7 linked regions of the Sus scrofa genome follow. The protein of the gene in region 1 purifies or fractionates together with the protein of each later gene. This does not show direct contact. Links are inferred from orthologs where the notes say so. Each region holds a gene or a part of one and is shown in the gene's direction. Other genes may lie near its edges.

Region 1 (3,382 bases):
TTTTACTAAGTATGATTTTTTGCTTTTTTGTGTATTTAAAAAAAAAAGTGAGAAAGACTAGTTCTTGGCTTTTCTCTTATATATTTCTCCATAATTTTAAAGCCTGGAGGTTGAATTTTATGATATAGTCTAAAGTTAGGGCTAGACCTTTCAAAAATATTCTACTATACATAAATGTTTGAGTGAGTTTTTGAAATGTAAATTTGCAGCAAAAGTAAGGTAGAATAAAAAAATCTGTTAATCATACTTTTATGCAGTAATTATAAATGTAAATATCTGCTGGGGTTTTTGGGGTTTTTTTTGTCTTTTTGCCTTTTCTAGGGCCGCTTCCTGCGGCCTACAGAGGTTCCCAGGCCATGGGTCTAATCAGAGCTGTAGCTGCTGACGTACACCACAGCCACAGCAATGTGGGATCCGAGCCGCGTCTGCAACCCACACCACAGCTCATGGCAACGCCGGATCCTTAACCCACTGAGCAAGGCCGGGGATCGAACCCTCAACCTCATGGTTCCTAGTCGGATTCATTGACCATTGAGCCACGACAGGAACTCCGTGCTGGGTTTTTTTAGAAGGGTTGGAAATTGTAACTTTCTCTTATTTTTTTTGGCTTAGGGAACACCAAATTCGGCTAATACCCAAGGAAATGCAACACCAAATCCTCAGGTAATATTATTTTTCCATGTGATACTTATTTTAAAATAAAATTATAAAACAGTGACAGAAATATACAACAACCTGCATGTCTTCCAAAACCGAAAATTATTCCATCTCTAAGCCACAGTACATTAAATTATATACCACTTTAATGTGGAAACTCACTCCTCAAAACATTCTAATTTTCTTTATTCCTTACTCTGCACAATGAATCAATAACAGAGTCAAAATGACAGCTTCTAAGCTCTGTGAAGGCAAGGAGGAAAATTGATGTTTTTCCACAGTATGTGGCCCAGAGCTTTCCAGACTTGTGCCTTGGGTTGAGTTGGCTAAGGCACTAACCCATCTTTTCTAATAGAGCCAAATTGTTTTACAGTTTCCTTTGCTCTTGTTTCCTCAGCACAGATATTTTTAAGTCTCCTGATACAGGTGTTTTAGAAACTCGTTACCAGGTCTTCCCAATAAAGGCCTCAAGAGAAAGCCTCGGTCATGGACTAACAGTTTCCCATGTGGTCCCTTGGGTGCTAGAGTCTGACAGGATCCTTACATCTAGGGAATTGCTTATCTACTTCTTTGTAGTCTTTCAGCAGTTACAGTTCAGTGCACAAATGCCAGCACTTAATTTTCTGAGCCCTAAGTTCTTTACATTTCATCTTTCTTCCATGAAATTAACCCGAAGATGGGGGCTCTTATATATAAGAACCTTTTGCTATGATTCCCTGTATCCTTGGGATCAGGTAGCAAATAATTTAGTTTAATATCTAATAACAGTGTCCGTTTCTACTTATTTGTATGTAACTAGATGCCATGTATATCTCATTGATTTGCAGAAAACATTAAAAATCACCAAGTAGTGGTTCTAAGTAGAAATCATTCTGTTTCCCTATGTTCTAACACACCGGGAAGTAGTAAGCAGTAGTGCAGAGGGTTTGAGTACCTGAGGGTGGGTGACATCTCTGCCTTATCTAGTTTCGTTAGGATTGGTCATGTAATCCAGAAGACAAAATCCTCCAATTCTAACTGACCTCCAGATGTTTTAACTTAAATATTGTTTTAAGTACTGTTAAAAACCGTTCTTAAGATTTATAATTTTCTAAATTTGTATTAAGTGACTTGTTTAGTCACTGTTAGGTTTTTGTTTATTTCTCTGGTGTCATTGTTTTTCAGCTTAGTGTTTGATGTAGTAAGATTTCACAAGCCTTAAACAGTGGAAAGTTGTTCTCTGAAGTTTAGATTTTAATGTGAGAGCTAAATGGCTTACCATGCTTTTTATACTTCTAAGCTAGCTTTGCCTTTTCTTTTTATAGGTCCCTGATTATCCTCCAAACTATATTTTATTCCTTAATAATTTACCGGAAGAGACTAATGAGATGATGCTATCCATGCTGTTTAATCAGTAAGTGTTTTCATAAATAAGTCTGTGTTCCGAGAGCCTTCTGACAGGACATCTACCTCTTCCCTGGGTTGAATCCATTTGTGTGTCATGTGGCAGTAATTCTTACAGCTTCATTGATTTGCTCCAGGATTAATCACGAATTGAAACCATTTAGCAGGTTTAGCAAACGAAAAAGCTAAATTACCTCTAATGCTTGAATTATTAATGCTATTTGATGAGTAAAACAGGAAACAAAGCTTTGATGAAATGACAAAACCAGAATTAGTTTACATGATTCCTGCCATTCTTCTCATGCTATTAATTACATTTCAGGCTCTTTCCTCCTGCTCAGGATTCTTGGTGGATATGATACTTTTTGTGGACTAATATCAGGGTGTTGCTTAACAAACTTAAACACGAATAGACATTTGTGTATTTGATGTCATTTCTGTATCTATATATGTATACATTGTTTCCATATATAAAAATGGCTTTTCTTCCTTATAGGTTCCCTGGTTTCAAGGAAGTACGTTTGGTACCTGGGAGGCATGACATTGCTTTTGTTGAATTTGAAAACGATGGACAGGCTGGAGCTGCCAGGGATGCTTTACAGGGCTTTAAGATCACACCATCCCATGCCATGAAGATCACTTATGCCAAAAAATAACATTTGGGATAGTTGTCTTTAAAGGACTTGGTATTTATGGTGTTTGTTTTGATAATGTTTGGTCAGGCCATTTTATTGGGGGAGTGGGGATGTGTATGTGAAATTTTTGTAAAGGATTTAAAAAATTACCTAGTCTTTGGTTAGCCTCAGTGAACTGTGAACTGCAAAGGCCTTAATTTTGCCCAATAAACATTTATTTGTATTTTGTATGTAATATTTCATTTATGGGCCCACTGTCCCATCATCGCATGCTAGTGCTAGTCTAGAACACATGCTAAGGGTATATAAAACTAACAGGGATCTTTTCTAGTGTTATTTTAAGCAGCTAATGGTAGAGAAGCATGGAACCATGTTAATAAAAGTAGAGTTAGATCAAACAGTTGATTAGATTTTCTGTAATGTTATTTCTTATGCGTATGAACTGCCATCCTAGAGTTCATTCTTTTTTTCTCTCTCTCTTTTTTAAAAAAATTGACTTTTATTAATGGCAAAATGATCATCCTGGAGATTAGAAGAAAATGAGACCTGGGCAGGATCTAAATTTCTTGTTCTTCAAATCATTGAGCATAGCTAGGATTTTGTTGGCAGTCAACATTTCACAAATCCTTTCATTCAGTTTTTAATTGAGTCAAGGCTGTTTAGAAGTGACTGTATTTATTGTTTTCTGGGAAAACAGACAGAAAGAG
Region 2 (4,777 bases), on another chromosome or scaffold:
CAACATTCAAGAATTCTGATGACCAGGGATGAAGTCCTGAGATACATATTAAAGCTGTGGTTTGGGAGATCACCTAGGCTAAAGGAGAAAGTATCCATGAAGAGACTACGCTGAGGGTAAGCCAAGAAGCACTCCAGCATGTAATGGCTCAGGAGACAATGAGGCAGCCTAAGGAGACCTAGAAAGAGTCATTAGTGAGATTGAATTAAAACCAGGCATACTTGGCATCCTGGAAGCCAAGAAAGGAGCATGTTTCAAAGGAGAGTGTCTGTTTTGAATGCTGCTGAGATGCTGAGTAAGAGGAAGACAGAAGTTTGTATTGGGTTTTTGATCACCATTAGAAAAGCAATCTCAGTGTATTTGAAGATCGAATTACAAGGCAATAAAAACAAGTTATAGACAGCTCATTTAAGGAGGTTTTCTGTGGAAGAAATCTGGTGGGAGCTAGAGCTGCATGAGAGGAGAATTTTTTTTTTTTAAGACCTCACCTGCAGCAAATGGAAGCTTGAATCAGAGCTGCAGCTGAGGCCTACACTACAGCTACGGCAACACTGGATCTGAGCTGCATCTGTGAACTACGCTGCAGCTTGTGGCAACACTGGAGCCGTAACCCACTGAATGAGGCCAGGGATAGATCCCACATCCTCATGAATACTAGTCAGGTTCTTACCCTGCCGAGTTCCCACAACTGGCACTACAAAATTTTTTCTTTCTTCCTTTCCTTTTTTTCTTTTTCCATTTTTGGCCATCTCCGAGGCATATGGAGTTCCCAGACCAGGAATCAGATCCAACCTACAGTTGGAACCCACACTACAGCCAGCTGTAGCAATGCAGGGCTGGACATCAAACCCGCGTCCTGGAGCTGCAGAGATGCTGCCCAATCCTGTTGCGCCACAGTGGGAACTCGTTGCTTGTTTGTTTTTTAGATAAATTTATATGTTGATAGAAAAAATCAGTAGAGAAGGAGGAATTGATGATTCAAATTAGAAGGGGATCATTGAAGGAGTGAAATTCTTGAGGAAATGAGATGGGATCCAGACTACAACCAAGAGGAATTTGCTTTCCAAAGGAGCAATAATACTTCTATCGTTGTCACAGAAAGGGAAGCAGAAGGATGGCTTCTGTTTTCTAAAAGTAGGATACGTTAGAGAGTGATTTGGGAGAAGAACTGTAAAAGGTTTGAGATAAAGAGAAGAAAGAAGGTATGAAATACTTTGTGAGCTTATTAGAGAAGCATAACGATCTCTGGGCAGTGCAAGGGACACTTTTGAGGTTTGTGACCAGAATTTAAAGTGAAAATAATCAGTTAAATTGTATGATTTTCTTCAGCACATTAAGTAACGCTGAGATACCTGGTGGTGGAGCATAATCCTTTGGGATTCTCCAATTATTTCCTTTCATTCACGAGAAAATTTGGTGCTACATAATACCCGGAGCCTTGTTATGCTCGCTAATAGGATTTAATTTCCTGAAATACTCTCTCTTACAGGAAGTTTCCTCCTGGATCGGCCCTAAACGCCCTTAACAGTTGCAAGGCACACCTCCTGCCGCCAGAGGCCGCACTGGCGCTACTCGCGGCCGGAAGGGAGAGTGGCCCAAGCGCAGCCTCGGCGTTTCCGCCGTGAGTGCGCAGGGATCCGCGCGCTCTTTACGTCGATCCCCGGGAGTAAGCGTTTCCGGTCATTCATTCTCCCTGCGGGTCGGCCTCTGCGGTGGGGTTTTGTGTACTATCGGACCGAGAGGATGAAGCTCGTGAGGTGAGGAGGTGACCGAGCAGGGTGGGTACTATGAGGGGATGTCCTGGACCGGGAGCGGGGGGGTTGAGCTGCCCGAGATGCAGGAGGCGCGAAAGCCGCGTGCGCGCGCGGCCTGCTAACGGCCTTCGGCGCCCGCCGCTCCCGCCCCATCTTGGTCGCGTCGCCGCGGGCACTCGACCAGGCTTCAGACTGGGTCGCCCAGGGATCTGCGGGTCTTCCGAGAGGTTGAAGGCCGGGCGGTGTTTTCCCATCAGGTGTCTTAGAGGCCTTAAAAGTACAGAGCCAGGCTTACAAGCTCTTACTTTCGGTGAGTTACAGACTTCCGTTTCTGTTAGAACGTTTCTGGCTCGTCTCAGCACTCAGGAACCGGCAAATTTAACTAGGTCCACGCTTCCTGAGAACGTGGGAGACATAAAAATTGTACATCCTGCACAAGTAGTTTAAATTAATGCATATTTTTTAATGAAACTACCGTCACACTTAAAAGAGTACTTAGAAGCTGCAGGGGTTTATCTGGAGATAATGAAATCCAATTCCGAAGTATTTTAAATCAGGGATCAGGGATGGACTTCTGATTTCCTGAGGTTTTTTTTTTTTTTAATAGTGTTTTTTTTCCCTCTTGTTGTTATTCCCTAGCCTTAAGATTATTCAACTTACATTTCCCTTTAAAATAGCCCTTTGATTTAGGAAAAAACCTCTCAATATGGGGTAGAATCACTCTTCCGTACTTTTTGGCTGATTACACAGATAATCGAGATTTATTCTGTTTATTTCTGTATTTAAATTTGGTCGATTAGTTGAGCCTGCTGAAGACTCGTTTACTGGTTGAGCTAATTCATCACAAAAACTACCTGCAAATAGATTGAGTTCTGATGTTTCTCCTTGAGGCTGAGAGCCTGGAACATAGAAGCAGAGGCTTTTACAACTCAGCCGGCAGTTATAAACTAGCTTAACTAGTTTATTGTCTGTTGAGTCAAGAATTGTCAATGTCGACCAAATAGTTAAGCACATGGAGTTCTTGGACCAGGGAACACATCCTAGCTGCATTTGCAACCTACTCGGCAACTGCAGCAATGCTGGACTGTGCCGGTGGGGATTGAACTGGGGATCGAACCTGCATCCCAGTGCTCCAGAGACGCCAAGAATCCCAGTTGTGCTACAGCAGTAGCCCACCCCCCCCTTAAAGAGTCCTATGTTGTAGTAGCGTTCGTTTTGCAGAGAAGATAGACAAGAAGATAGTTTGAGATAACATAAAGAATCCTCATTGTCATATTCAGGCTGGTGTTTGTAGAGAAGGCATTTAAGATTGACTTTTTGTCTATTTTTTTCCCTTCCAGTTTTATTGAGATGTAACTGGCTTTCAGCATTGTGTAACTTTAAGGTATATAACATAATGATTTTTTTTGGCCGTGCCAAAGGCATGTGGAAGTTCCCAGGCCAGGTATCGAACCTGTGCCATAGCAGCAACCCAAGGCTGCAATGACAACACTGGATTCTTTCTTTATTGACCAGCTGCACCACGAGGGAACTCCCACAGCATAATGATTTGATTTACGTACATCATAAAGAGTGTAGTGAACATCCATCATCTCATGTAGATATAAAATTAAAGAAATAGACAAAAAAATTTTTTTTCTTCTGATGAGAACTCATGATTTACTCTCAACAACTTTAATATATAACATACAGCAGTATTGATTACATTTATCATATTGCATATTACATTTCTAGTTCTTACTTATAACTGAAAGACTTTGTCCATTTTATTTGAGGTATAACTTTGAAGGTAAACATCTCAGAACTTAAAGTTTATTTTTTTTTCTTTTTTTTAGGGTCACATCCACGGCATATGGAAGTTCCCAGGTTAGGGGTCTAATCAGAGCAACAGATGCCAGCCTACGCCACAGCCACAGCAACGCCAGATCCAGCCATGTCTGCAGTCCACACCACAGCTCATGGCAACGCCAGATCCTTAACACACTGATCGAGGCCAGGGATTGAACCTACAACCTCATGGTTCCTAGTCGGATTCATTGTAGCTGTATCCCGACAGGAACTCCTAAAGTTTATTTTCTTAATGTCTGAATACTTGCCAGTCAGAGTCTTAGTATAGATAATACTCTTTGGAGTCTTTTGTCCCACTTAACGATAGTCCATGTTGTGACAGAATTTTCCTATAAAATTTTTTTTTTTTTTTTTTTTTTTTTTTGGTCTTTTCTGGGGCCGCACCTTCGGCATATGGAGGTTCCCAAGTCTAATCATAGATGTAGCCACCGGCCTACGACAGAGCCACAGCAACTTGGGATCCAAGCCGCATCTGTGATCTACACCACAGCTTATGGCAACACCAGATCCTTAATCCACTGAGTGAGGCCAGAGATTGAACCCGAAACCTCATGGTTCCTAGTCGTGTTCGTTAACCACTGCACCACGACAGGAACTCCTCCTATAAATATTAATGCTGTACTGAATCCTATTCTGTGTCTTAGACTATAGAAGCAAAATTCCTAATAATTGGAGAATGTATTTTGCACTGGGAAAATGGGTTTTGTATAACTAGTTTGCTAGGGATCCAGTCTGAGCTATAGCCAATGGCCTGTTCCACAGCCACAGCAACATAGGATCTGAGCTGCGTCTGTGACCTATACCACAGCTCATGGCAACGCCAGATCCTTAACCTACAGCAAGGCCAGCGATGCTAGTTGGGTTCACTAACCGCTAAGCCGTGAGGGGAACTCCTTGACTTAGCTCTCTCAGTAATCCTGATAATGTGATAAATTGCCAGGTTTTGGTGTTTTTAACCTGTTTAATAAAGTATCTCACTATCCTGTTATCTTGATTTTTTAATTTTTGTTTTTTATTTATATTAAAAAAATTTTTTTTTGGTCTTTTTAGGACTGCATCCATGACATACGGAAGTTCCCAGGCTATGGGACGTATCTGAATTCCAGCCACAGCGACTGGAATCCAAGCTTTGTCTGTGATCTATACGGCAACGCTGGATCCTTAACCCACTGAAT
Region 3 (4,662 bases), on another chromosome or scaffold:
ATCGCTGGCCTCCAGGATGAGCTATCCCATCTTCAGGAGTTATTAAGGAAATGGACACCAAGAATATCTCCTGAGGATCACTCCAAGAAAAGAGATCCAAATACCATTCTTTCCCAATCCCACTGAAATTGCTGGCTCTCTCATGGGCGGGGCAGAGAGTGGTCTGGGGTGAGGGAGAATTCTGTCTAATCCTTCAAATCTTATCTGGTTTTACTCCCTCAGCTTTCATATGCCAGCCTTTAAACAAGCTCACTGACTTGAGTTTCCATAGCTGATAGGTGGCTAACCTTATCCAACTCTTACCCTATCCTTCTTGGTTTAAATAGTTTCTTGTGACCTGAAGAATTAAAGAAACAAAACCAACAAAACCAATCCGGAATATGATTGCCCTTTTTTCATGCATTCCAACCCTTTTGGATGGAAATTTTGGATACTGAGCTGGTAAATTGTGAGGTCAGAGAAACAATTTGTCAGTGCCAACAAGATGGCCTACAGACCTCCTTCTCACCTCCCCCTGCTGCTCCTTTGATTCCAATTTCTATTTCTTCCCTTAAAGTTTTCTCTGGGTGTGGTGTGGCTATGGGAGACACCCAGTCTTTTCCAATTGTATATTTTTGTAACGGCATTTCTATTTAAGGAGTTCATTAAATCACAGTATTTATACACACTGCTGGCATTGTTTCTTGTGTCTGAATAAAGGAACCTAGGTAAGATAGTGATGGTGTGACTCAAGAGAGGAAGATACAGACCGAATTACTGCTAAGGAAATAAGGGGATGGTTCAGGTGAAGCTCTGCAGAATTCATAGTTTGGGTTCTCCCTGTGGTGCTGATGTGGCAAAAACAGACCCAGACGTTGTTGTTGGGGCTGGGGTGTGCTCTGGGGGTTGAGACCAAAGCCTCTGGACTTCAGTGTTAACCACTCTTCAGCGCTGGTCACACACACTCCCATCTCTGAGCCTCTGGTTCCCGTCACCCCCAATGCAATACTGACTAGGCAAGCTCAACGTCACTCCAGCTCAGACATTCCGCAATCCCTTCCCTGAGGAAAAATGAAAGCCCAGGCCAGGACTATGGGGCCCCATCTGTCCAAAGGCTGCGGGCCGGGGTGGACAGCTGCCTCCACGCCTTGGGCAGAAGACCCTTCTCTGGGAATCAAAGGAGGCCACAAAATATACGAAAAATATTGTTCTCTTAGCTCCTGAATTGACATTTTTGGGAGCAGCGTGATCCTTTAACTTCAAGCACTGCCTTAGGGCGTTTGAGAGATTCCGATCCGCGTTCCCCGCCCTAACCTGTCAGAGCGGCACTTCAACACAAAACCAAAGACCGCGGAACACGGTAACACCAATCACTTCAAGTCTCAGCGGCTCCTAAAATGGCCGCGGCCGCTTCCGGCTCCTCCCCTGCATAGGCCCCGCCCACCGCCTCTACGTCCGCCTTCGCCCCGGAAGTGGAAGTAGTACTGCGGTCAGGAGGCGGTATCGCTGCCTGGAGACGGCGGGAGGTCTTTCGCCATGGCTGCTGGGCCGATCTCCGAGCGGAATCAGGGTGAGTGGAGGGCACAAGTCCGGGATGGGCCCAGGGGAGTTTGGGGGATCTCGGGTTACAGCCAGCAGTGTTTCCGCCAGGGCGGGAGATTGGAGCATCCCAAAAGGCGCTAGACCGGCCTGATGCCTGCTGGGGCGGGATGGACGGGTGCCCAGAGGCTGAGGCCTGTAGGTGTGATGTTGTCTATGTCCCATCCCCTGCTGCCTTCCCACTCACGCACACAAAAAATTACAAAGAGAATGTGCGCCAGAACTTTAAATTATATTTAAGAAGATTTTGTATTACCTGGAATGGAGGGCGGTGTAGGGGTATAAGCTAACGTCTTTTTTTTTTTTTTTTTTTTTTTTTCTTTTCTTTTTCTCTTTGCTCCAATACCCCATCTCCACCCGCAACTCCACCGCCTGGGTTCCGACTTCATGTTCCCGTCACCTCCTTATTTCCTCTCATCTCTGTCCTAACCTCCTAACCCTGTCCTCCAGATGCCACTGTGTACGTGGGGGGCCTCGATGAGAAAGTTAGCGAACCACTGCTGTGGGAACTGTTTCTCCAGGCAGGGCCAGTAGTCAACACCCACATGCCAAAGGATAGAGTCACTGGTCAGCATCAAGGTGAGTACATGGCAAGAAGTGCAGTTATTTTTCATTTAATTTATTTTTTGGTCTTTTTGTCATTTCTAGGGCCGCTCCCGCGGCATATGGAGGTTCCCAGGTTAGGGGTTGAATCGGAGCTGTAGCCACTGGCCTATGCCAGAGCCACAGCAAGGTGGGATCCGAGCGGCGTCTGCAACCTACACCACAGCTCACTGGCAACGCCGGATCCTTAACCCACTGAGCAAGGGCAGGGATCGAACCCACAACCTCATGGTTCCTAGTCGGATTCGCTAACCACTGAGCCACGACGGGAACTCCCAAGAAGTGCAGTTATGTTTTGAGGAAACAAACTGCTCCTGGAAGGTCCCGGCAGTATTCACAACTGTTTGGAATAAGCAAGCTAAAGTTTTCTTTCTCTTAAACTCAGTTTGTTTCTGGAACCATTCTCAGTTGAAGTAGGATTATTTTTTCTTGTTCTTTGTACTTTAGAAGGTGAGTTATACCTCATTTTGAATCGCTTCACTTAAGTTAACTCTTCTTTTCCATTTCCCTAGGCTATGGTTTCGTGGAGTTCTTAAGTGAGGAAGATGCTGACTATGCCATTAAGATCATGAACATGATCAAACTCTATGGGAAGCCGATACGGGTGAACAAGGCATCAGCTCACAACAAAAACCTGGATGTGGGAGCCAACATTTTCATTGGAAACCTGGACCCAGAAATTGATGAGAAGTTGCTTTATGATACTTTTAGCGCCTTTGGGGTCATCTTACAAACCCCCAAGATAATGCGGGACCCTGACACAGGCAACTCCAAAGGTTATGCCTTTATTAATTTTGCTTCATTTGATGCTTCGGATGCAGCAATTGAGGCCATGAATGGGCAGTACCTCTGTAACCGCCCAATCACTGTGTCCTATGCCTTCAAGAAGGACTCCAAGGGTGAGCGCCATGGCTCAGCAGCTGAACGACTTCTGGCAGCACAGAACCCACTCTCCCAGGCTGACCGCCCTCATCAGCTCTTTGCAGATGCCCCCCCTCCACCGTCTGCTCCAAATCCTGTGGTATCATCACTGGGGTCTGGGCTTCCTCCACCAGGTAGAGCTTTCTATTCAGAATATGTTTGTCTTAAATTGGGGGGAGGGCAGGAAGAAGGAAAAAGAACCTGGAAAGGAGGGGACATTGAGTCAGTAGGTGATGAGAAAGGGGTTGAGAGGTAATGGATGCAGTGAGAAGAACATTGTTGAATTGTTCTAGCATTTTTTTTTGTTTTTTGTCTTTTTGCCTTTTCTAGAGCCACTCCCATGGCATGTGGTGGTTCCCAGGCTAGGGGTCTAATCGGAGCTGTAGCCACCGGCCTACACCAGAGCCACAGCAACGTGGGATCTGAGCCACATCTTCGACCTACACCACAGCTCATGGCAACGCTAGATCCTTAACCCACTGAGCAAGGGCAGGGACCGAACCCGAAAGCTCATGGTTCCTAGTCAGATTTGTTAACCACTGCACCATGACAGGAACTCCTGTTCTAGAATTTTGAAGTTGTCTAAGTTGCTTCTGACTTTAGAGAGCTGGAAGGAGGGGAAAAGAACTCATCTTGCCTAGAGGCCAGATTGGAACAGGCCCCCTAAAGGTACTCTCTTCTCACTATCATGAACTCTTTTTCTATTTTCTCTACAGGCATGCCTCCTCCTGGCTCTTTCCCACCCCCAGTACCGCCTCCTGGAGCCCTTCCACCTGGGATACCCCCAGCCATGCCCCCACCACCTATGCCTCCTGGGGCTGGAGGACATGGCCCTCCATCAGCAGGAACCCCAGGGGCTGGACATCCTGCACATGGACACTCACATCCTCACCCATTCCCACCGGGTGGGATGCCCCATCCAGGTGGGTTTTCTTTGCTGGGAAGGAGAGGGATTCTTTCACCAGTTATGCTGCTGTTCTCTGTCCTTCAACAATAATAGAGAGTCCCTTTCTTTAGACATTCCTTTCTTCCAGACATTTTTTTTTTTTTGTCTTTTTGCTATTTCTTGGGCCGCTCCCGCGGCATATGGAGGTTCCCAGGCTAGGGGTCGAATCGGAGCTGTAGCCACCAGCCTACGCCAGAGCCACAGCAACGCGGGATCCGAGCCACGTCTGCAACCTACACCACAGCTCACGGCAACGCCAGATCGTTAACCCACTGAGCAAGGGCAGGGATTGAACCCGCAACCTCATGGTTCCTAGTCAGATTCGTTAACCACTGCGCCACGACGGGAACTCCCAGACATTCTTTTATAGAAACAAACACAAAATACTTTAGCCTGTTTACTTTAACAACTATCAGCCTGTTTTCATTTCTTAAAGTTTTACCGAAGAGTATAACTATACTTGCTGGGTTTTGTTTTCTTAACCTTTACTTCCATTCTTTCCTCTGACTTCCACCCCAAAGCAGTCACCTACATGCCAAGTCTAGGCTGCTCCTTATCTTGTTTGATCTTTGCTATTCTTGAAACTGGCCGTGTCCTCCTGTTTGAAAATCTTG
Region 4 (4,581 bases), on another chromosome or scaffold:
CTACTTCTTTTTAAATTCTGCAATAATAGTTGTGCTACTTGATCCAATGTAGATTCACAAATTTAAATGTAAAAGGTTGTCGGAGAATGCTTGCTTGATTTTTTATTAACGAAATACGTTCTTGACATTGAACCTTTGAGTGTAACATCTTCCTAGGGTTGTCAAGTCAGGAGTGAAAAAAAAAGAAATGGCAGTCAGTCAATCTTCTAGATGGTTCAAAAGAGGACAGTCAAGGTCAAACTGTTGAGTCTCTTTTACCCTCCCCATCTAGTAACTGAAAAGCAACTGATTGTGAGCTCAAAATACGCCATTCTGGAACTCCCACAAATACAAATGTCAGCTCCAGGACCACACTCTGGCTCAAAAAGTTCTGTGAGGGCAGGCTGAAAGGGACAAGGAGAATGGGGAGTAGTAGGGCAGATGCTCAGGCCACAGCACTTTGGTAAGACTCAGAGAGCAGAACTTTTACCTGTTTTCTAACAGCGTCATCACCTATCAAATAAAAATAATCATCTCCAGAAATGATGATATGAATCAAACGATGTGGTGAGGAATTAAGTCTTGCAATCTTGTGCAAAGCTGAGAGACTACTGTCATCATTACTATTTGCTACATCTGGGCACGGAACCCACCCCCTCGAATTCTTGGGTACATGTTCCGCAGGATCCCCACAAGATGGAATAGGTCATAGTTTTTTTTTTTTCCCCCCCTACAGACTCCATGTTTGGCAACCGTAGATGCACCTGGCTAGCAACTCTGTGCTACTGAGATGAAAAGTGAGGCCTTCAGGCTCTGGGCCTAGCGCGCTTACCAACCACCGCGCCCCCCAGTCACCTTGTCCTCACCTTGAGGAACGGGGGAGGAAAAAAAAAAAAAAAAAAAAAAGCCTTACGGGGGAAGAAACTGCGGTCCTCAAAAATGAGAAAGACGTGCCTCCACTCTTCACCCGGCCGCCGCTTCTTAGGCCCTTGCTTCCAGCGGGGCGGGGACAGGGCTGAGAGCTGACTGAGCCGGGGACGCCCTGACCTCGGGCGCCAGAGGAGCGGGTATTTGCGCTGGGCCCGCGCAAGGGACAGGTACGCGAAAAGTCGGCCGGAGGTCAGGCCCGCCTCGCCTTGCCTTGCCCATAGCCGCAAGCGCAAAAGAGGTACCCCGCCCCCGTAAACCTAGAGGGCTCTCGGTTCGCTCACCTGCAGCCGGGTCACCAGTAGGCTGTAAGGCGCCATTTTGTGCACTGACAAAGATGAGGTCGCTTGAAAGTGACGTGACACGCGGCTTATTTAAGGCCTTCGGTGAGGGGCGTGACCTGAGGAGAAACGCGTCACGCTGAAGGCGTTCCCGCGAGCGACGTGGGCGGAGCTCCAGAGTCAACCTGGGAATTGGGAGAGAGCTGCCTAAAAAGTTGGGGTAGTAAATACCCGGCACAAAGATATCAAAGTGCAAATTTCGTCTTTGCGCTCTGCAACTTGTCCCTCCCATTCAAATCTGGGAAAGTTTTTTTTTTTTTTTTTCCCTAAATGACCCGCACACCCCTACCAAGACCTGACTCCCCCACTGCCAACGGGAATTCGTCTTCGGAATTTAAGTGCTTTGATCACGCGAGAATGAGCGGGGCTTGGTGCAAAGATTGCAAACGCTGATGGACGCCTAGAGAACCAATCAGGGCGACGAGGAGGCAGGAACAATCAGGGTTAAAGGTCTGGCGGAAGCTCCCTAAGCTTCCGGTGGTTTGAGCGCGAGCGATGGCTAAGCATCACCCGGACTTGATTTTTTGCCGCAAGCAGGCTGGTGTTGGTGAGACGGTCTTCTGCCCCCGGCTGTTTGGGTGGGGATGGTATTAGGACCTTAAGAGTCCGGGGTTCCCATTACTCCTTTAGGGTGTTGCTTCGGAGGCGCCCCGTTTCCCGCCTCGCCGCCGGTAGTGTAGGAGCGCGTGGGTTTGTGGGCTCAGATGAAAGGGGGGCGGGGGCGCGCGTGCTGAGAGCTGGAGAGGGGCTGCGGAGATAGAGAAATTCTCAGTTTTCCCAGGACCTGGGAGGTCTTACGAGGGTGCGGATTTGGTTCGGATTGAAGTTTATGAGAATACGATGGTTAAGACCTCTCAGGGCTCACTGCAGACCCTGTACCTGTCCCCAACTCAAGCTCGAGGCTTTTGTCCCCTCTTCTAAACCTTAATCCTAATTGTACTCTTTATCACCTTTGATCTTGCAGCCATTGGAAGACTGTGTGAAAAATGTGAGTGGAACACGCTTCTCCAAACAGCCCACCCCTCCCACTCAGCTTCTATAGTGGCAGCAACGGACATTTTCAGCGGTGCCACGAAGAGGGCTTTGGATAGACATGATTGGAAGCATGTTAATACAAAGCCAGACTGCAACTAAAGGCCACCTTCCCGCTCCAACTTGTACATTTTAGGCACTGTATTTAGGTTTTGACAAAACCTCTAGCTTTGGACCAGAAGTAGCATGACCCTGCCCCCAACACACACAGCATTCTGCCAGTCAATTATATAGACTTATCTACCGACTGCTATTCTAAGCCCTTTATATTAATTGATTAGCTTTCCTATGTGTTGGGGAGATTGAGAAATGGACGCTAGGTAAACCAATTTTATAATGCCAAAATAGAGGGCTAAAGTCACTGTCAGAAGGACATAGTGTTTTTACCCATAGCAGGAAGAGGACCTGAGGTACTTGCAAGTGGGCGTAATTCAACCTCTTTTCCTTACAGGTGATGGCAAGTGTGTGATCTGTGACTCCTACGTGCGTCCCTGCACCCTGGTGCGCATATGTGACGAGTGTAACTATGGCTCTTACCAGGGGCGCTGTGTGATCTGCGGAGGCCCGGGAGTTTCAGATGCCTATTATTGTAAGGAGTGCACCATCCAGGAGAAGGATGTGAGTGTATACTAAGCTTTTCCTCTGATCTTTCCTTTCGTTTAGGAACACTTGGCCATCCACAGCAGACTCCTATGGTCAGGAGATGGCTGTTCAGCCAGTCACCTAGGTTATAATTTTCAAGTTCTGTAAACCAAACTGGGTGTACTCCAACAAAAGGTAGTTATTTTGCATCAAGTACACAAAGGCGAGAAAAGCAAATTTTTGTCAACACTGGCAATTTGATGTCTTTCTCTCTCTCTTTTTTTTTTTTTTTGGCTGTGTCCACATGTGGACGCTCCCAGGCCAGGGATGAACCATGCTGCTGTTGTGGCCTGTGCCACAGCTACGGCAATGCCAGATCCTTAACCTACTGCACCACAAAGGAACTTTCTCTCTCTTTTTTTTTTTCCCCCCAGAAACTATGCTGCATTTTTAAATCATACCACAGTGCATGATGTGCAGAAGTCACTAATTTGTGCTACCATTAAGGAACGTTAGGGTGGATGTGATGACTTTTGAATTTGGGACAGTTCAAGTTCATTTCAGCTCTGAGTGGCTAGAGAGTGCCTTTGGTTGATTTTGCAGAATTGATTGTAATTCTTGCTCATGGCATTTTTGCCCCTTGACATTTTTTTGGTGCCAGTGGCTTTTTTTTTTTTTTTTTTTTGCTATTTCTTTGTGCCGCTCCCGTGGCATATGGAAGTTCCCAGGCTAGGGGTCAAATCGGAGCTGTAGCCACTGGCCTACGCCAGAGCCACAGCAACGCAGGATCCGAGCCGCCTCTGCAACCTACACCACAGCTCGTGGCAACGCCGGATCCTTAACCCACTGAGCAAGGGCAGGGATCGAACCCGCATCCTCATGGTTCCTAGTCAGATTCGTTAACCACTGCACCACGACGGGAACTCCGGTGCCAGTGGCTATTTATTCAACTCTTTGAGCCAGGATAGAGGGCTTGTAGATCTATTCCAAAAGCAGGCTTGGGGTAGGGGAGGTTAATCAGCTTTTATTCATATGACACAATAAATAAAAGGAAATGTGATATAGTACCAGTAGACTATTTATTATAAGGTATCTGGTTACCTAATCTAGGATAAGGCATGAGATAAAATATTTCTTAATTTTTCCTTGTGCAAAGAATAGGTAGTTTCTATGTGGGTATTATCTTCCATATTCTTCACAGTAACTTTGTTAAATAGGGATTATTACTATCCCCCTTTTACAGTCTGTCCTGCAGCTAATAAGGGGCAAGCCCCGGCTGTCTGTCTAAACCTGGTGATAGCTGCAATACACCTTATGGTCCTTTTGGTGGGATGTGCCTGGTTGACGAGAAGCAACTCAGCAATCTTTACATTTGGATCCTGTCTACCTTTAATAAGTGGGACATGTCACACCAAATAAAACTTTTTTTTTACACCATTAAGTCTTCTCTTATTTAGGGAGATGAGAAAGATCATAAAGTACCAAAGACAAATTTTCCCTTGGTGATGTGAACATTCTCCTGTCCTAAACTCTGATTTGTGTTTACTTTTGATTGTCATATCATACCTGTTTGATCTGATCCACCAGGTAGATTACACTCCCTTTACAGAAAGAAGCTTGGTTTTTGTGTTTGTCTCCCCTTTTCCTCAGTTCAAAGTATAATCCCTGCGTGTATTGTAGTATGGTCCACATTTTTGTCGCTACCCCTGTAAGTCATCCG
Region 5 (3,039 bases), on another chromosome or scaffold:
TTTCAAAAATGAAAACCAAAATAAAATAACAAACTTGGAAATGAAAATGGCAAAATGGCAAGGTATGATATATCTGGATGGTAAATCCACAGGTATGCCTTATAATAACCTCTATGTTTCAGAAATGAAATATTTGTTATAACCAAGTTCACACTTAAGGGGGAAGTTTTTTTTTTTTTTTCCAATTTTTGGTACAGGCATTTGATCCCAGAGGGAACTGTTTTACCACTAAAATTTTTTAATAAAAATTATATATATTTAAGAGGTGCAACATGATTTGATATACATATACACAATAAAATGGTACCACAAACTAATTAACATATTCACCTCCTCACAATTTTTAGTATTGATACAGTATTAACTATAGTTAACTATAGAGCTCTAAACTTACTAGTCCTATCTAACCGTAACTTTATACCAGAATAAAGATACTTTAAAGTTATCTTTCTCCCAGTAAAGAATTTATTTGGCCGTCATACAGGTTTTTTTAATCCATTCATCAGATGTTTTTTGAGAAACAATCTCTGCGAGGCTCTGTGGCTAGCATAACAGAAGCATATGATACAAGACATCATCTCTTTTTCATTAATATTTTTAAAAATATTACTATTTGAATTTATTGAACTTCGCATTTTGGGGTTTTCTTTGTGGATTTCATGCTACAAATAGATCAAGTAGATAGATGTCTCACCCTCAAAAAAAAAAAAAGACATCATCAAAAAAGTAGTTTTTCTCAAGTAGTTTGTATTCGTGTGGGGAAGTTCTTAAACCAAAAACTGGATATAAAGTGATAATAACAAAGAGATGTACAGGATGAAAAGAATTTACATCTGTCTGGAGTAGCCAAAGTCAATTTCAGGGAGATACTTTCGAGCTGACTTAAAAGGGAGAAGTGTTTGCCAGGGGAACAAAAGCATTCCACGCAGATGGAACAGCTCGTACAGAGAACTGGAGAGAGCAGCACGGGAACGTTTGAGAAGTAGAGGCTGAGGGCCTGTAGGTGGGGTGAAACTTGTTGGGAGGATGTCAAAATTAGAAGCTCAAAAGGAGGAGCCTGTTGTGGGGGCCTGAATGTGTCGGAACTGGTGCTGTACTTAGGTCACTAGGCGGGAAACGGCGGCCCCGCAAGCGATGAAAGAAGTTTCCACACAACTTGTAAGAGACATGGCTGGGGTCAGACCTTGAGTTTCCTGACTTCAGGGTGATCCACCCCTGGTTGTGAAACGGCTACTGTACCCTCTGTAGCTCCGAAAGCGGAATTGCACAAAGAGCTCCTTTCCCCAGTTGCTTACAGCCTTGTACTACTTGTTTCCCACTTCCTCTCGGCCCCCCATCCGCCCGAGGATGCTTCCTGCCTCCCAAACACCGCAGTCCATTCAGTCTCTCAAACCCACACACAGAGGTCCCAAGAAGTCTCTGCGAACCAACCCTCGGAAACCACAAGTCCCAGCATGCAAAGCTCCTGTTAGAAAAGGGCCGCTAGATGGACCAGCATGCAACGCTCTGCGAAGGAGGCGGGGCTCTCTATAGGGAAGGCCCACTGGTAGCGTTGCCGAGGCAACTCCAATTCCGTGACAGAATACACTTCCGCCTGGGAGGCCGGGGACCGCGAGTCGCGCTGCTTTGTCGCTGTGACGCCATCCACCTGCGGCCGCGCGTGTACAGAGGTTCCGGCGGGTGGCTCCTCTCCGGCTTGAAACCTTAGAGCGGCTTCTTCTCGTCTGCGGCTTCTGACCTGCGAGCAAAGGAAAAAGCAACGAGATGACAGACCGCTACACCATCCACAGCCAGTTAGAGCATCTGCAGTCCAAATACATCGGCACCGGCCACGCCGACACCACCAAATGGGAGTGGCTGGTGAACCAGCACCGCGACTCCTATTGCTCCTACATGGGCCACTTCGACCTTCTCAACTACTTCGCCATTGCCGAGAATGAGAGCAAAGCGCGAGTCCGCTTCAACTTGATGGAGAAGATGCTGCAGCCTTGCGGCCCGCCCGCCGACAAACCGGAGGAGAACTGAGACCTCACCGTCTCACCGCTGTACGTGAGCACCTCTCTGCGTTCCTCCGGTTTGTCGTCATTCCCGCGGGTTCCTCTCCCAAGTGGACGGATTCTTCATAGCTCTGCTTTTCGTGCTTTCTTTGTACAGAGGTCCTTACCCGGGGCGTTCCGTCCGACCTGCCTTCCTGTGGAACAAAGTGTTGGGAGACCCGTCATAACCCCTGAGAAACTGAACAGTGGAGAGATCCTAAAGTCTGCAGACGTTAGAGGAGATATGGCTGGAGTGAGATGGGATTAAGAGGCTCGTTTTTGGCTAGTTGACTGTCTTCGTTGCTTTTTCTATAAAGTTTAGAAATGTTTCGGTCTCTTGGTGTGGACTACTTGTGTTCTGGTGGAGGGGCCAAGGAGGGCTCTGGGACTGTGGTTTGCCGGGTGGCGGGGGGTATAAAGAAGGGAAGGGTTGGGGAGGGGTTCAACAGTAGCACAGGGCCAAAGTTCGTTGCCAGACACTTAAATACGCTCTTTATAATATTCTCCAACCCTGACTTCTCCCAGGAACTTTTCTCAGGCCCTTAACACATTCACTATTGAGGTTTGTGATCACTGTGTCCTTTTTCTTTCATACAAAAAAAAAAAATCTTGACTCGCTTTGCCTTCTCTCTGTAGATTACACCTCTTTCTTTTGGAAATACGTGGACATATCTTGAGTATTGACAAACTGTCAAATTAGTTCTTAAATTCATTCAGCAAATACGTGTTGAATTTTATGTGGCAGGCTTTAAGGACCTATATTACACTGGTTGGGGGAGCAGAAGACCACAAAATTTGCAGACATAAGCAAGCACATGTTGGAGGGTGCTGTGGAGAATGAGAGTAGCAGTAGGGTTGCAGTTTTAAGTAGAATGCTCAGGAGTTCCCATCCTGGCTCAGCGGAAACAATCTGACTAGGATCCATGAGGATGCAGGTTTGGTCCCTGACCTCACTGAGTGGGTTAATGATCCGGCTTTGCTGTGAGCTGCAGTGTAGGTGGCA
Region 6 (4,007 bases), on another chromosome or scaffold:
TTTTTCCTGTTTTATCAAGGCCATGTACCTTAACTACAGGGGCCACTATCTGGATTCTTGCTCAGATGCCAGCAGTTTACCAACCATTGCTTTTGCATTATCAGTACAAATAAGAAATAGCAAATAACCTCTTGACATTATTATGGAAATAGTTTTGACCTCATGAACCTCCTAAAAGGGCCTTCGGGATGCCCAGGAATCCACAGACCACACTTTTAAGAACTGCTGACCTAGGAAAAAACCGAATGCAGCACATGGTTTTAACCTGCCGTTCAATACAGGAATACTGTTTTTTATGGGAAATTAGAACAAGACAGACAACATAAAAGAGACAGTTTATCCTGCCCTGCAGCCCTTCTGAGGGTCTCTTACAGAGGAGCCTTTTCAGATTGGCTAATTGCCTATTCTTGCCTCTAGGGAGGCCATTGCCATTGCCAAGGCCCGGCTGCGCCCAGAGGACCCAATCCTGAGAGACCTGTACCTCAGCTGGGGAGCCATCCTAGAAAAAGACGGTCATTATGCCTTAGCAGCCAAATGGTAAGTCTGAGGCAAAGAGGAGGGCGCCCAAAAAGAAGAGGTTCCACAGAGAGCAGGACAAGAATGGAAGCGAGGAGTTTAGAGGTGGGGTAAGGTGACCAGCAAATTAAAAAGCATATGTGTGTTAAACCCAGCTTCATAAGACTCATCAAGGTCTACCTACTTGGCATTTATATAAATGACCATAACTGTCCAAGAAATTACACCTTTCTTTGGGGATGTCTTCTATCATTAAGTGTGGAAAATGAGAGGGAATGACTTCTTTGCTTATGCTCAACTTGGCAACTGTTGAGGTTTCTTTTATCTCCTTAACCTGTATTATGCTGCCTCATTCCCTTCTGCGCTGGCCTCAGGCTTCACAGGGACAGCCACAGGCAGTGCCACAACCGGGACCACGGCAAAGCACGCTAGCAAAGTGGACAGAAAGAAATGATTCAACCCGCTATGAAGCAGGAGTAAGAGATCTGTCTATGACCCTTGGCTTGAGTTTTCTTTTGTATTTCAGCTATTTAGGGGCCACTTCGGCTTATGACGCAGCCAAAGTCTTGGCCAAAAAGGGGGACGCGGCATCACTTAGAACCGCTGCAGAGTTGGCTTCCATCGTAGGAGAGAGTGAGTTGTCTGCTTCCCTGGCTCTCAGATGTGCCCAAGAGCTGCTTATGGCCAGGAACTGGGTGGGAGCCCAGGAAGCCCTGCAGCTCCACGAAAGTCTCAAGGTCAGTCTGTTACTGCCTCTCCTGCTTTTAAGAGGGAAGAGCCCCAAGTCCTTTTCTAGTCAGAGTCTGAGTGAATTACCCAATTGGACAAGCTGTACCAATTTGGCAGCTATCCCCAGAAGCGTCCAGCAAGTCCTGGCCATGCAGCGCCCCTTTAAGAACTGTGGCTTCTCCCTTACCCGACTCAGAGAAAGGGATAATGTGGTCCCTGAAAGGTATCGCCATTGCTTAGCAGCTCAGCCTCTCTGGGCTGGCAGTCTGGCCTCCCGTCATTGATGTCATCAGCACATCAGTGAAGAGAGAGGCTGGCTGGTGCTCTGCCCAAAGCAGCCCTCTTCAACTGTAAGCTGTAACGAATTGGGGGAAATCAAACCATTGTGTTAAGTATTCTGTTCCATCTGGTTAAAAATGAGTAACTTAAATAACCACTGTCCTTTTTGACACATCAAAATTCAGATTGTTTTAAAAGCATCAGCACACTCATCTAGGTTTTTTTTTTGTCTTTTTGCCATTTCTTGGGCCGCTCCCGCGGCATATGGGAGGGTTCCCAGGCTAGGGGTCTAATCGGAGCTGTAGCTGCCAGCCTACGCCAGAGCCACAACAACTCGGGATCCAAGACGTGTCTGCAATCTACACCACAGCTCACGGCAACGCCGGATCGTTAACCCACGGGGCAAGGGCAGGGATCGAACCCGCAACCTCATGGTTCCTAGTCGGATTCGTTAACCACTGCGCCACGATGGGAACTCCCTCACCTAGTTTTTAAAACATGTAAACATCTGGTCCATTTTAGACAGCTTTGCTTGTCAGGCAATATGTGAATTTCTTCAGTTCCTCTTTCCCTTCAGTACTCAGCCTAAAGACCCGAGTTCCTAGCTGAATATTCCTTACCCAAGAAAAATGTTAGGCGAGGCGTAGCTTTCTGGGAACTGCAAAATAAAAAATGGAGGTAAAAGTAGAACACCCTCAAAGGATAGTGTCGGTTAGTATATTATTTATAAAGTGACCAAATTTAGAGAGATAACCATAACAAAAAAAAGTTTCCAGAGTGGTTATTTGGCACTTCTTTTTTTTCTCCCCTAAAATGGCAACCTTAATAAAGCAAAAAAACCTAAGTTTATGCTAAACATTGTTCTGCTAAGGGCTGTTTTGGCTATAAGAACAAAGACCTTCCCAAGCTTAACTGAGAAAATATTATGGGGGTACACAAGGAATCTCATGGCAACTGAAAATCCAGTAAAAATAAGTATTTCTCCAGGCCTTTTCTCTGCTTTTGTTCTCTTCTAGTTGACTCCCTCGGTTAAACCTCCTTGGACATGGCCCCTAACCACTGCCCCGGCCCTTAGAGCTACACAACTTGTCTGTTCCAGCACCTTCTGCCTGTTAAGCTTTAACTTCTGTATTCCTTAATCTGAGGTTTGGGCAAGGGGAAAAAACTGGATGAGTCCACCCCCTCTTGGCTCAAACTGGGCCACAAGTCGTAGGTAGCTGGGCTGCATGTGGCTTAAGTTTCGGTGAATAGGGCTATAGTTGGGATTTCATGTTGTAAATATGGTTGCTTAAGCTCCAAGGGCTCTGGGTAGGAATCTTTCAAAAGGCATCTGGAAAAATTGTCTGTGGTTGCTCAAATGCAAAGAGGGAGACTGAGAGACTGGAGAAATCTCCAGATAACTGAGCACTTCCCTGCCTGACAGTTCCTCTCCTTTGTTGTTGGTTCCAGGGTCAGAGATTGGTGTTCTGCCTTCTGGAGCTGCTGTCCAAGCAGCTAGAGGAAAAGCAGCTTTCGGAGGGCAAAAGCGCCTCCTCCTCTTACAATGCTTGGCCCTCGGGCAGCGAAGGGTGCTTCGTGGAAAGGGTGACCGCAGTATGGAAGAGCGCCTTCAGCCTCGACTCCCCAGAGCAGTACCAGGCAGCCCTTCAGCAGCTGCAAAATATCAAGTACCCATCTGCTACCAATAACACCCCCTCCAAACAGGTACCCCTGCACGTGAGCTTTTGATACTAACCTCTCAGGAGTAAGACTTCTTTAATCCACGTCTAGTACAACAAGGCAACATGTAAAATGCCAGTTTGCATTCTACAAAAAAAAAAAACTGGGGGAAAAACTGTAATTGCAATGTATACATGTAAGGATAACCTGACCCCCTTGCTGTACAGTGGGAAAATAAAAAATAAAAAAAAAAAAAACTAAGGCAAGCCCAAGAAACCTTGGAGAGATCCCTTCAGACTAATTAAAACCCTTTATTTTGGAAGTTAGTCTTAGAGCTGTATTCCCTTTTAAAAGAAAAAAAAAAAAAAGTCTAAAAATGAAGAGGAATACAATGAATAAGTACCTATCAATTAGAATTAACAGATGTTCACATTTTGTCATTTTTGCTTCATGGAGTTTTTTAGTTTTGTTTTGTATATTCTTTTTGTCTTTGGTAAAAGAAACAAAATCAGCTTGAAGTCCCTCATGTTCCCTTGCCCAGTTTCGTTCCCTTTCCCTGGCTTACCAAAAACAGCCCTTGCGTCAGACCATGTGCATTATTATGTGGCTTGTTTATGTGACCCCTGTCTGTAAAACTTGTCCATGTTTTTGCACAGAGAATAGGTTGATTCATTATAGCTCCTATACCCATCCTATGAAGACAACCTCAGTTTACCCAGTTTTTCTTTTGATGAGAGAACACTCATGTTTTTGAGGAATGAGATGTCCTCAGATGGTACAGCACTTTGGAAAACAGTGTGGCAGTTTCTTAGAATTAAGCATCC
Region 7 (4,706 bases), on another chromosome or scaffold:
AGTGTGCCAGAGACGGTGCGGGTCCAGTCGCCCCACCACCCTCCGAAGCCCGGCTTCGGGGAGGCTTCCGAGCCCCGGACCCTTGGGAAAGAGGTGGGAAAGAGAAGAGCAGAGCGTGAAAAGCACCCTCATTTCAACTCTACCCCGGGGGCTGTCATCCCTAAAAAGCCCCGGCTCCTCTTCCTAATGGCAGATTCCAGCATCAGAGGTTTCTAGGATAAATCCTAGACTCGGGAAAGTCTACCCAAGCCCATCCGGTATAGCCCACCGCAATCCTGATGGGAGAAATCGAAGCCCAACGAGAGGAAGAGACTTCCAAACAGCTGACTTTAGGATTAGAACCCAGAACTCCCAGGCTTACTACTCCAGACCCTTCCTCTTACGGTGCAACCGCTATTATAGAAAAAGCCCGAAGCCTCATTGCATTGGAAAGGGGCATGCGCTCTAACGACGAAGATCGCGGCACCTGCGGCTAGGGCCCCACGATAACGATAAAGCCACGTCAACCTGAGACTTTGAGGAGGGGGAGGCGGGGAATAAGGGCTCCCCTGTCCCCGTCCGGCCTCACCCGCATCTCCCGGCCCAGAGGCAGCTCCTCAGTCTGGCGGTGCCAGCCGCTCCAAATGGTATAGAACACCGAGGCCACCGCCAGCGCCAGCAACAGCAGGGGCAACAGCTGCGCCCGCGGTAGCAGGCGGCGCTTGGGCGGTGAGGGTGGCTCCAAAAGGCCGCGTTCCCCAAGCCGTAGCCGGGGCCGCCCGCGGCCCCCTGAACGCATGGCAGCTTCGCCCTGAAACCGGTCGGGGACTGCGGATGGAGTTTAGGCCAGCCAAGTCCCACCCCATGGAATCACCGGACCAATAAGCAACAAGAGCGGCTGCACCAACCCACCCTTCAGCAAGCAGTAAAGCCAATGGGGACTTTCGTACTGAGGACACGCCTCCCTGTCTCCCTGAAGCTTAAGGGTTGGTTCCCCTGAGGGTTGCACAACCCAAAAGGGAGCGCGAAAGAGGTAGGCACCGCCTCAGCGGAAGAGGGGAAGCCAATGAGAAGCATTTGATCCTAGAAAACAGCCGACCTCCTGGGCGCGGGTCCACGCCCCTCCCGGATGTAAGCAAAGGATTGGTTATTCCAAGTCCAAAGGATTAACAAACACATAAACGGACGGTCCCCTAAGTAGAAGAGGAGGTATCCATCCCTGAAGCGAGGAGCCGATTGGCTTCGTGGATGCCGCGCCCCCGAAGGCAGGGCCGGCGGGCATTTGGAAATGGCTTGTCCTTTCCCTCCTTCAACCTGTGCGGTTCTACAACGAAATGGTTTGAATAAGTCCTGCTTTCTCTTCCTCTCCATCGTCAATATCTGCCCGGTACAGTCCTGAATGGCCTCAAAGTAGTACGTAAGAGTTTTACCCTACAGCCGCCTGTGGCGAGCAGAGATCGCTATGGCAACAGGCCACGCCCCACCCACTAGCTGTGTTTGCGCAAGCGCCCACGGAAGTGGGCCTCAGGAAGCGGAAGTCCCGCCCTTCTCGCTCCTTTCAGAGGGCGAAGAAGCAACGCGGAGACGGTGGTGACTGGAGTGCGCGGTCGCGACAACTACTGCCACCGCCATGTGAGGCCGGGCTAGGCTTAGGTGGCAGGAGTGGGTTGAGGGTGTAAATCTGGCCACTTGCCGGTGGAAGGGGGTGGGCAGAGCCTGGGGCGGAAGCAAACATTTTCGGGGTAAAGTGGCGTACGTTACCGATGAGTTTGAGAACAGATGTGGGGCCTTTTTCGGATCCTGACTTTAGGAGCAGGAGCAGCTTTATCAGATAACGGGCTGGGCTTTCCCAAATAATTAGTCTTACTGAAGCGAATGTTAAGGGGAAGCGATGTACGAAAATGGAACCTGGGAGAGGGGAGTACGGACATGTGGGGAAGAACGATTTGAAGTGAGGATCTTATCAGGGTAATTTGAGCTGGAGACGGTTAGCCTTTTGACCTTATTCGTCGTTATCATGGGTCTCGAGTTATCGGAAGGATTTTACTTACGTATTCATGCAACAATTATTTATTGAGTGTTCATATGTCAGGCTTCTTTAGACACAGAATATGTTAGTGAATTACCCCACTCCCCCAAGGGAAAAAATTCCATTTTGCATTTTATGGGTTGGGTTGAGCCAGGCAATAAATGTAAAGGTAAAATATATGGTGTGTTAGGTGACCGGGGCTATGAATGAAGAAACAGTAGAGCAGGGTAAAACAATGTGGAATGCCAGTTTTGAGAGACAGGACACATGAAGAAGGGAGCAACTGGAGCAGAAAGCTGGAGAAAGTGAGCGCACAAAGATATTTAGGGACGTATCCAGGTAAAGGGGGAAAAGCAAATGCAGAAGCCTAAGAAGAAAGTTGCTGAAAATCTTCCAAGACACCCCTCTGGATGGAACGGAGTGAGAGAAGGCAGCGGATAAAGGGTTTTTACTTTCTACATTGAGATAGGAGCCTCAAGAGAGTTTCGCAGAGTGAGATGATATGACTTGGACCTTGGCACCAACCAGAGACTGCTCTGTGAAGAGCAAACTTGGAGAGCATGGGTGGAGGTAGGGAGACCATTACGGCTCTAGGAGAGAGTCGATGGAGGTTAAGCCATGGTGAGAAGTGGTCAGATTCCGATATATTTGAGAGGCAGGGATGATGGGATTTGCCAGCAGATTGAATGTAGGATGTGAGAGTAAGAAGAGTCAAGTTGACGTTAGAGGTTTTGCTCAAAGACATAGCAAGATGGAGTTGCCATGGATGGAGACGAAGGCAGCTGTAGGTAGATTAAGTTTGGGGGTACCGCGGGGCCTGGTGTTCAGCCTAGGACGTGCAAGCTTGGAACTGTCTATTAGGCAGCTGTGTGGTGATGCTAAGAGAGAGGACTGAGCCGGAGGGTGGGTGTGTTGGGGAGACAGTGAGCGAGAGGGCATGACCACCCAGGCTCTGGCTCCAGGCCCTGTCACCTATGAGTTCCATACTTGCCCACTCAGGAGCCTCCTCAACAAGCCCAAGAGTGAGATGACGCCAGAGGAGCTGCAGAAGCGGGAGGAGGAGGAGTTTAACACGGGGCCGCTGTCCGTGCTCACACAGTCGGTCAAGAACAACACCCAAGTGCTCATCAACTGCCGCAACAACAAGAAGCTCCTGGGCCGCGTGAAGGCCTTTGACAGGTGAGCACCTGGGTCTGGGGAGGTGGTCTGTCCTGGCCTGGAGAAGCAGTCCCAGCTCTAGTCTGAGGAGCCTGGATTCTAGGTTTCTTAGAAGCCTGGGGCATAAGCGTCTGAAGGTGGGGTTCCTGTCATGTCTCAGTGGTTAACGAACCCAACCAGTATCCATGAGGACACAGGTTCGATCCTTGGCCTTCCTCAGTGGGTTAAGGATCCGGCATTGCAGTGAGCTGTGGTGTAGGTCGCAGGTGTGGCTCAGATCCCATGTCTGTGGTTGTGGTGTAGGCCGGCAGCGGTAGCTCCGATTTGAACCCTAGCCTGGGAACCTCCATATGCTTCCGGTGTGGGCTTAAAAAAAAGAGTGCCTGTTGTGACGGTCTCTGTTGTTCCTCCAGCTGTAAAGTTCAGCCATGGACTTGGGGGCCAGTCCTGGAATGATGTCCTGGCTCTGCCTCTTAGCAGCCGTGTGACATTCAGCAAGGGACCATATATCTCTTCCCTACAATGGCCGTAATCTTGATGGTTGCAAAGATTCAGTCACTTAATATATGTGAAGCACAGTCAGTCCTTAGGAGTAGCGCCCCCGGCACACGGTCTTCCTCATCAGTTTTCTCAGTTCGTGCACAGTGGCCTCTGCCCTTGTGGGGTACTGTCTTAGGCTCCAGAGATGCCATGGTGACTGAATCATACATGCCTCCTGTACTCAGGGGAGTCTACAGCAAACACATAATGTGTCAGGAAGACAAGTGATGGCAAAGTCTGTGCAGAAGAGTAGAGCCAGCTGAGAGTTTGGAGTGTGGAGAGGGAGTGCTGCTGTCCTCGGTGGGTCATGCAGGAGGCCTTCTAGGTGGACAGATGGGGATAAAACGAAGGTGCAACCTAGGGTCTGCATGTTTCAGCCATGGGGAGCAGCAAGTGATTTTTCCTCTCTGGGCCTCAGTTTCCTTATCTGCAAAATACTATGCATAGAATAATACCCCTCAGAACAGTCGTAAGGGTCAAATGATTTTCTGTAGGAAGAGCACTTAACTCAGTACCTAACATGTGGCAAAGGCTCAGTAAACATATGATCGGCAGGAGTTCCCTTTGTGGCTCAGCGGTAAATGATCCCTACTAGCATTCATGAGGGCGCAGGTTCGATCCCTGGCCTTGCTCAGTGGGTTAAAGGATCCGGCATTGCCATGAGCTGTGATGTAGGTCACAGAAGTGGCTTGGATCTGGGGTTGCTGCGGCTGTGGTGTAGGCCAGTGGTTACAGCTCCGATTCAACCCCTAGTCTGGAACTTTCATATGCCACAGATGCTGCCCGAAAAAGACAAAAAAACCAAAATAACAACAACAGCAAAAAACCATTGGCAGTCCTCAGCATCAGGGAAGTGCTTTCCTCTCGGCAGGGGGGTGAAGCTTACCTCTGGATTGCTTTTGCCAATGGCTACTGTGGGACCAAGAACAAAGCTTTCACTCTGAGCCTCAATTTACTCTTGAGTAAAGTGAGAACGAGAACGATAGGAAGTGCCGAGCCC

What was found.
Region 2: the proteins of SNRPB2 (region 1) and SNRPD1 purify together in Homo sapiens (affinity purification with mass spectrometry; 3 studies listed by BioGRID and IntAct, with this or other methods). This does not show direct contact. The link is inferred for Sus scrofa from reciprocal best matches to the Homo sapiens genes SNRPB2 and SNRPD1.
Region 3: the proteins of SNRPB2 (region 1) and SF3B4 purify together in Homo sapiens (affinity purification with mass spectrometry; 4 studies listed by BioGRID and IntAct, with this or other methods). This does not show direct contact. The link is inferred for Sus scrofa from reciprocal best matches to the Homo sapiens genes SNRPB2 and SF3B4.
Region 4: the proteins of SNRPB2 (region 1) and PHF5A purify together in Homo sapiens (affinity purification with mass spectrometry; 4 studies listed by BioGRID and IntAct, with this or other methods). This does not show direct contact. The link is inferred for Sus scrofa from reciprocal best matches to the Homo sapiens genes SNRPB2 and PHF5A.
Region 5: the proteins of SNRPB2 (region 1) and SF3B5 purify together in Homo sapiens (affinity purification with mass spectrometry; 3 studies listed by BioGRID and IntAct, with this or other methods). This does not show direct contact. The link is inferred for Sus scrofa from reciprocal best matches to the Homo sapiens genes SNRPB2 and SF3B5.
Region 6: the proteins of SNRPB2 (region 1) and GEMIN5 purify together in Homo sapiens (co-immunoprecipitation; 3 studies listed by BioGRID and IntAct, with this or other methods). This does not show direct contact. The link is inferred for Sus scrofa from reciprocal best matches to the Homo sapiens genes SNRPB2 and GEMIN5.
Region 7: the proteins of SNRPB2 (region 1) and SNRPD2 purify together in Homo sapiens (affinity purification with mass spectrometry; 3 studies listed by BioGRID and IntAct, with this or other methods). This does not show direct contact. The link is inferred for Sus scrofa from reciprocal best matches to the Homo sapiens genes SNRPB2 and SNRPD2.

The regions. Positions count from the first base shown.
Region 1 is NC_010459.5:25,370,385-25,373,766, forward strand, and holds the end of SNRPB2 (uncharacterized protein LOC768116), read left to right. Parts: intron 1-612; coding exon 613-663; intron 664-1,961; coding exon 1,962-2,050; intron 2,051-2,536; coding exon 2,537-2,696; downstream 2,697-3,382. UniProt on the Homo sapiens protein: Involved in pre-mRNA splicing as component of the spliceosome. Associated with sn-RNP U2, where it contributes to the binding of stem loop IV of U2 snRNA.
Region 2 is NC_010448.4:106,796,602-106,801,378, forward strand, and holds the start of SNRPD1 (small nuclear ribonucleoprotein Sm D1), read left to right. Parts: upstream 1-1,599; 5' UTR 1,600-1,743; coding exon 1,744-1,757; exon of another isoform or gene 1,758-1,778; intron 1,779-1,989; exon of another isoform or gene 1,990-2,064; intron 2,065-4,777. UniProt on the Homo sapiens protein: Plays a role in pre-mRNA splicing as a core component of the spliceosomal U1, U2, U4 and U5 small nuclear ribonucleoproteins (snRNPs), the building blocks of the spliceosome.
Region 3 is NC_010446.5:99,122,143-99,126,804, forward strand, and holds the start of SF3B4 (splicing factor 3B subunit 4), read left to right. Parts: upstream 1-1,421; 5' UTR 1,422-1,515; coding exon 1,516-1,549; intron 1,550-2,028; coding exon 2,029-2,157; intron 2,158-2,693; coding exon 2,694-3,236; intron 3,237-3,818; coding exon 3,819-4,025; intron 4,026-4,662. UniProt on the Homo sapiens protein: Component of the 17S U2 SnRNP complex of the spliceosome, a large ribonucleoprotein complex that removes introns from transcribed pre-mRNAs.
Region 4 is NC_010447.5:7,069,769-7,074,349, forward strand, and holds the start of PHF5A (PHD finger-like domain-containing protein 5A), read left to right. Parts: upstream 1-1,376; 5' UTR 1,377-1,742; coding exon 1,743-1,794; intron 1,795-2,211; coding exon 2,212-2,235; intron 2,236-2,730; coding exon 2,731-2,897; intron 2,898-4,104; coding exon of another isoform or gene 4,105-4,149; exon of another isoform or gene 4,150-4,302; intron 4,303-4,581.
Region 5 is NC_010443.5:21,229,644-21,232,682, forward strand, and holds SF3B5 (splicing factor 3B subunit 5), read left to right. Parts: upstream 1-1,620; 5' UTR 1,621-1,764; coding exon 1,765-2,025; 3' UTR 2,026-2,045; intron 2,046-2,154; 3' UTR 2,155-2,371; downstream 2,372-3,039. UniProt on the Homo sapiens protein: Component of the 17S U2 SnRNP complex of the spliceosome, a large ribonucleoprotein complex that removes introns from transcribed pre-mRNAs.
Region 6 is NC_010458.4:68,316,875-68,320,881, forward strand, and holds part of GEMIN5 (gem-associated protein 5), read left to right. Parts: intron 1-417; coding exon 418-537; intron 538-1,042; coding exon 1,043-1,253; intron 1,254-2,973; coding exon 2,974-3,228; intron 3,229-4,007. UniProt on the Homo sapiens protein: The SMN complex catalyzes the assembly of small nuclear ribonucleoproteins (snRNPs), the building blocks of the spliceosome, and thereby plays an important role in the splicing of cellular pre-mRNAs.
Region 7 is NC_010448.4:52,039,304-52,044,009, reverse strand, and holds the start of SNRPD2 (small nuclear ribonucleoprotein Sm D2), read left to right. Parts: upstream 1-1,535; 5' UTR 1,536-1,609; coding exon 1,610-1,611; exon of another isoform or gene 1,612-2,510; coding exon of another isoform or gene 2,511-2,578; intron 2,579-3,007; coding exon 3,008-3,187; intron 3,188-4,706. Other genes in the region: QPCTL (glutaminyl-peptide cyclotransferase-like protein), read right to left, coding at 1-81, 569-778. UniProt on the Homo sapiens protein: Plays a role in pre-mRNA splicing as a core component of the spliceosomal U1, U2, U4 and U5 small nuclear ribonucleoproteins (snRNPs), the building blocks of the spliceosome.